Linked DNA regions of Xenopus tropicalis. The protein of the gene in region 1 interacts with the protein of each later gene in a biochemical or structural test. Links are inferred from orthologs where the notes say so. Each region holds a gene or a part of one and is shown on either strand. Other genes may lie near its edges.

Region 1 (3,078 bases):
AGAAGTAGGACAGCAGTGACCTAGGAGGTTAACATTTGTAAAGTTATTAGGAGTATTGTTTAACATTCCAGTATTCAATGACAACAGCAGTCTGCAAACCCATACATAGACTAGGTCCTCAAAACTAAATAATAAAAATGTTGTAGGACACTTACATATTCATCATATGTTTCAGGTGCAGGAGGTGGAAGAGAGATTCTCTGGATAGCAGCACCACGGGCTCTTCCAGCGGGTGCACCTCGGCTAGCAGAGGAAGGGGGTACAGGGCGGCTCACACTAGCACCACGCGATATGGCTCCACGTCCGGGGGCACCTCTTGGAACAAGAGGGCGAAGAGGCCCAGCCCTGCCTCTGTTAATATAAATTTGTACATAGTCTCATCCAAAACCCTGAACATCTTGCATACAAAAGTTTACCTTAAAGGGGGAAAAAGGGCTGACAGGGGGGAGTGACACCAAAAAGTAACAAACTTGCAAAGCTTCTGCTGTAACCCTTAGCAAATGTAAGTCAGAATATCACAACTGGCAATGCTTGAAAAGCTAGGGTTATACAGTACTGAAGAATGCTAAAAGGAAAGGTGAGAGTTCGGTTGGAGGCTGACCCAGGTTAAACAATTTTTAGTTTTGTTTGACAGTTTGATTCCTGCAAGGAGTAACATAGCAGCTAGCTGCCTTAGAGATTACCTAGAAGAAGGAGCTGCAGCAGGTGGTGGACCCCCTCTGCCCCTGGATGGTCCACCTCTTGTTCCACCTCTGCTTTGCTCTGGTGGTGCTCCATTAAGATAAGATAGCTCCATAAACTGTTCCTGACAGATATCATCCATCATGTCCTGGTATGAAAAAGACTCAGGTGTCAGCTAAAAGAATAAGAAAACTGTTTACTCAGGACTTTGCTGCTGAGTAGTTTTGAAGATTAACAAAAAAAAAAAAAGTTAGTTAGTGTTCTACCTGCTATGCAATATTCTAATTACAGCCATCAACACCTAACCACACATCCATTGACATCAGTTTACTTCTTTACATTTATAACATAAAAATGAAAAATGAGCCAACAACTTTACTATCACTATATGGTTACAATAAGCTAATTTAAAAGGTCCAGCGGAAGACAAACTTTTCAGAAGTCAAAAAAGTGTGGACTTTTCTCCTAAATCTATAATAATTTCAGTGCTTGTTTAAACAGCAGCAAAAAAACTACACACATTTTGCTTTTGGCCAATTCCTAAAAGTTTACAGTAAAGTTATAGAAAAAATCCTTTGACTTTATTCAGTACTTACTTAACTAATACTTGATTAGGATATTTTTACAGCAAATTACATTACAAAAAAAAATTGATTACACATACCGGAACCAAGAACTTCTTGACTTCTTCCATTGCATGTGCCATACGTGTATAAGATTCACATGGTGGTCCAAAGACCTCTATGAACACATGAAGGTCCATATTCAGATGGCTGTATTTGGGGTCCCCTCCTTTCCGCAGCTCTTCTTCCTGAAATCAATGACATGATTATTACTATGGGTTTTCCTTTTACACATTACACTATTGGTCTGTGAGGCTACAATTTTATTGTTACTTTTTACAACTTTTCTATTCATGCTCTTTCCTATCCATATATTAGTCCCTCATTCAAATTACTCCCTGGCTGCCAAGATAATTTGGACCCCAGCAAACAAATAGCTGATAAAAGCCACTGAAAATTTACTGAAAAAAATAAAAAAAACAAAACAGGAGAGCAGCTGAACGTGAACTAAAAAAAAAAAAATTATATATATATAAAATGAAAACCAACTGCAAATTGCTTTGTATCACCCCAAAATTTTGTGTATGTGCCAGAATGAGGGACCAGATGCCCATGCACTAGCTACACAATTAGATGGTTAGGAGGGAGGGGAAAAGTGAGAGCTGAATTGAAAGTTTAAGTACTTGTCTGCCCCGCCTCTATGCTTAAGGCATAAAGGCGGGGCAGGAAATATTTGATTGATAGCTTTTTTAATGCCTTTATAATGGGTTTGAATGTGTTAATATAGAAATGAATTTGGGTTTCATGTTTAATTTGAAAAGTACAGGTCCACTTTAACAGGAAAAATAAATAATTTAGCCCTTACCTTTGCCTTATCTCTCATTGATCCCTTGCCAAGAACAGAGATTTTTGCTCCAGTCTCCTCCTGTAACCTTTTGATGGTGTTTCCCTGTGGTCCAAGGATCTTTCCAACAAAGTTAAACTACAAAATTGGGTAAAAATGATGATTACAAAAGGCTTCTTTACACTTCCCAAGTTACACACTTCACTTACATATAAGTTATTTATTAACTCGCAATCATAATAATTTGCTTTTTAAATCACATATGGGGTGAGTGAAGAATCTTAAAAGCAACAAAGACAAGTTACAGCTAAAGCGACGGTCCCCAGATTTTTTTTATCCTTGAGCCACAATTCCAATCTAAAAACTTGTTATAGATCAACACAAGTATTCAAAAAGAACCTGGGGTACCAAATATGGACTGTGATTGGCCATTTGCAGTCCCTATGTGGACTGGTAGGAAGCTATGTAAGATGACCTAAGTTGGCTATACATGCTCAAGTAGCGTAACCCAATTTTGACTACTCTGCCCAAACCATCTGCTTGGAAGGTTTGTTTCAGGTTGATTTTAGCACATCGGCACATAAAGGCATTTAGCGAAGCTGCAAAAAAGCAACAAAACAGAGCCATCCCTGTGTAGGGTCGACACGCCATCAGACCACTGAAGATCAACCATTGCATAACAATCTTTAAGCCAGTTGCTGCAAAAAGACTTATTGCAAAGTTTCCCTACAGTTTCCTCAATGGCTTTACATGTAATTAGTTCAAAGGTGCCATGTGGTAGAATGTAGCCCAACAGTGTTATCAGACTGGAGTGACTGGTTGATTTGTTCAGGTCAGGAATCTTTAATGTATGTTGCGGCAACCTTCTCATGTAAGCTTTACAATTGTTTCCTAAAGAATCTTACCTTGGGATACAGCTTGACTGGTATCAAAATGCGCTCTTTTAACTTCATGTTTTTATGGGAAAATAAGTCCAGATAAGTATCTTCT
Region 2 (3,658 bases), on another chromosome or scaffold:
ATTTAAGAGTACTTGGAGCAGTGGCCTCATGATTGTACTAACTGGCATGTTTAATTACCACAGACATGTGTTATTCCTCTGTATAATAAAAATGAAAACACTTTTTTTGAAGGTTATGGGATTCTATTGTCTAAAACGCTTAGGACCCAGGGTCTTCTATATAGAGATGTTCCATAATTCCGTCATTTTTCAAAAACCCAATACTACTGATTTTTTTCTTTTTGCAAACATGGAGTTACCAGCAATTGAAAGGGATTGTCTTAATATTACAGAGGAACAACCAATCCAACAAGAATAAAGATATGAAGATATGGATGATTTAAGCAATAGACTGCAAGGAATGGCACTGCTTGATTTCTGAGCAATCGGGATAAAAGGTTTCTATGATAACAGATCCCAAACTTGAACTTCAAACTGCATAATGCGAAAAAATAAGATATTCAGTTATATTAATTGAAATGGATATTATCTGTATGTCAATTACCACCATTCATTTCTAAGATTTTTTTTATAGACCTTGATCAGCTTAGTGACCAATAGCAGTATAATAATCCCTAATGCTTAATTGCCTAAGGGACTGTCTCTATGTTCAGAAGACAGTAGATACATTGTTCTATGCCATCATTGGCAAAGATGTATTATACAGGAATGAAATGTTTGGTCCCACTGTTATTCTGCCTGTAATCCTGAAACATTTCCTCAGAGATCAGAAATGTGGGATAGCCGTTAATTCTTTTATGTTTTTTACCAATTACATAGTCCATTAGATTACAATACTTTGAAAGTGGTCTTGTGCAATGGTGTTCTGGCCTTCCAGTTTGCCATTGACATGCAAAGATATACTGAATGTTCTTTTTCCATTTCCCATTAGCAAGAGTTAGTGTTAAGAAAGTCTCTCTATACTTTTGGCAGATTTGGACATTTCACTTTTCTTGCTTAGTTTTTACACTTATAGATTGTCCCCAGGCTGGTACTGTGGCTCTGTTGCAGTAAAGTAGTCTTCTAAAAATGACTGAATATATTCAAAGGTTGGTCTTTCATCAGGGTCCTTCTTCCAGCACAGCTTCATCAACTCGTGAAGAGATTCTGGGCAGCCCTGAGGGCAAGGCATTCTGTAGCCCCGCTCTACCTGCTCCAAAACTTCCCGGTTTACCATGCCTGAAAACATATTAAAAACAGTCAGTTCTAAAATACAGAAAAAAATTAATGATCACCAAGAGATGATTTTCTACCAAATCTGAAATATATCTAAATCATCTTAGCCCTATATATGGAACAATTCTCGAAACACTCCTTATACAATATTCCACCTTGATTCCCGCAATAGTTTGTCAGGCCCAAAACCCAATCTCCATCTCATTCTAACTTAAATGCCTTCCCCTTTGTCAGTTTTCTCATTCCAAAATACCTCCCCATCTTAACTCTCCACCCAAGCTTCTATTTTTTATAGCCCTTGTTTCTTAATATCTCCTTCAAAAGACTCATAGCAGGCTACTTCCATCTCATGGAGTTAAATAACATGCTCAGACTCTCAAAAAAATGAAAGCTTGTGCCACTCGTTCTCTAACCACTGTATATTGCGTAAAGCCCAAATGAACATGCATGGATACTTAATTTTGAATAAAATGCCTTAACTACTTATGTACAATAATCCCTTCATGGGAACACTGACCTTTGTGTTGAACGAGAGGAGAATTAAAATGTAAATATGTTTATTTCCTTCTGTCCATAATTGAGCTGGGTTTTCTGTTTTTTTCTGTCTGTCTTGCCTCGTACTATTACCATATTAATTTTATATTTCATGTTTTTCCCTATGGCACTAGCTCCTTTTTTCTGTTTTTACATTTTGCTGTTGCATTTTCTCACAGGGTTTGGCATATGTATGTATTTTTTTTTTTTTTTTTTTAAATATATTTTATTTTTCTAGTTGTTTTCATCATGCAGTGACCCACTCATGCTACATGCTGTAGGTTACTAGTACTTACTGTGACTGCTTATGATGTGCCTTAGCCATACTTAGAGCCTTACAGGCAACAAACGTTACCAACAGTCCTTTATCCCAAGATACTTTGGTAGCTTAGGCAGTCTCTGCTCAGCTAAATAAGGTGCTAAGAGTTCTGGAAATGTGAAACCCCAGGTTTCAACATCATGCTAAGAAGGTGGTACTTTGAAGCAAGCAATGAGCATCACCAACTCAACTGAGTCAAACAAGCCCAAATGAAACAAACCAAAGACATGCTTATGCCCTTTTCTTTAGTCTGTTCTGGTACTAGCCTTGTGGAAAGCAAAGTATACAAATGAATAAATGGTGGGTATACAAATGACATTTATAATAAAGAAACCCCCTTATACCAGGATAAGGAACTCTCCCTTTGGTGACCAACTCAGTTAGGAGGATTCCAAATGACCACACATCGGATTTAATGGTGAATCGACCATATAAAGCAGCCTCAGGTGCAGTCCATTTGATTGGAAATTTTGCTCCTAAAATACAGAAAACATATAATTTGGATTATTGTAAAGGCAATGTTTACAATTAATAAAAACTACAGCCAGTTGACATTTCACCACTATTAACTCTAACCTTGCCGGCAAACTATTCTTCACTGGAATGTTTTCATTAGGGACCACAAAAGGGAAGGACTTATGAAAGGGTTGGGTGTGGTCAAAATGGCCCATCTTTCAAATCAGAAATGTTAGGAGATATAGGATACTGCCAACCTCTCTACTTCATTCCCTTAGATCTCAAATCTTCTCAAAGCATCAGAACAGTGCATTGTATTAAGTTTTAAGTTTTCTTTTGACATATACACATACATACACAACATAACTGAAAGTTACCATAGCAGTCACACACTTTAAGAGGGAACGTGACAAATCATACCTTGCCTTGCAGTGTATTCATTGTCTTCTATTAATCTTGCCAAACCAAAGTCAGCAATTTTACATACAAGATTGTCTCCAACAAGAATATTAGCAGCCCTGAGGTCTCTGTGAATATAATTCATCCTTTCAATATAAGCCATGCCATCTGCAATCTAAAGCAAACACAAAATTGAACACCATTAGTATGCAACCAATGCCAAAGGTGTTGCAGCAGACCTAATGGACCAATGCAAATGGCTGGATTACCTGTGCAGCCATGTCAACGAGTTGTGGCAGTTTTAAATACTTTCCATCACCTTCTTTAAGAAAGTCCAGCAGACTACCTGTACAGACAGAATAAAAGTTTCATTCCCCACTTTGTTTGAATAACTCTAGAGATATTGTTATAGTCTTTGTGCCAAAGAGCAGACAGGTTGTCAGACACACATACCCTTTGTCATGTATTCAGTGACTATGTAGATTGGCTCTTCTGAAACAACAGCGTAAAGGGGGACCAATTTGTCATGCCTGAGTTTTTTCATGATTTGTGCTTCTTGCAAGAAAGCTTCAGGCATCATTGTCCCTGGTTTTAGTGTTTTGATTGCTACTTTTGTTGTTCCATTCCAAGTTCCTAAATAAAATAAAACTTTGCATAACTATTCTAAACAAACAAACACACACACAAACAAAATGCATAGCTCACTAAGCTTAGAAATATAAATGAATAAATAAATACTTCTGAAAGGATGGCCTTCCGTGTTATTATAATGGGTACTTAGTATGTATAGTATCT

What was found. The genes of interacting proteins can lie anywhere in the genome.
Region 2: of the proteins of khdrbs1 (region 1) and yes1, one has a biochemical effect on the other in vitro, tested with the Homo sapiens proteins (2 studies listed by BioGRID, with this or other methods). The link is inferred for Xenopus tropicalis from reciprocal best matches to the Homo sapiens genes KHDRBS1 and YES1.

What each region holds. Positions count from the first base shown.
Region 1 is NC_030678.2:86,525,296-86,528,373, reverse strand, and holds part of khdrbs1 (KH domain-containing, RNA-binding, signal transduction-associated protein 1), read right to left. Parts: coding exon 2,994-3,078; intron 2,227-2,993; coding exon 2,110-2,226; intron 1,493-2,109; coding exon 1,346-1,492; intron 857-1,345; coding exon 684-856; intron 352-683; coding exon 156-351; intron 1-155. UniProt on the Homo sapiens protein: Recruited and tyrosine phosphorylated by several receptor systems, for example the T-cell, leptin and insulin receptors. Once phosphorylated, functions as an adapter protein in signal transduction cascades by binding to SH2 and SH3 domain-containing proteins.
Region 2 is NC_030682.2:108,008,023-108,011,680, reverse strand, and holds part of yes1 (tyrosine-protein kinase Yes), read right to left. Parts: intron 3,497-3,658; coding exon 3,317-3,496; intron 3,210-3,316; coding exon 3,133-3,209; intron 3,039-3,132; coding exon 2,885-3,038; intron 2,485-2,884; coding exon 2,353-2,484; intron 1,159-2,352; coding exon 950-1,158; 3' UTR 1-949. UniProt on the Homo sapiens protein: Non-receptor protein tyrosine kinase that is involved in the regulation of cell growth and survival, apoptosis, cell-cell adhesion, cytoskeleton remodeling, and differentiation.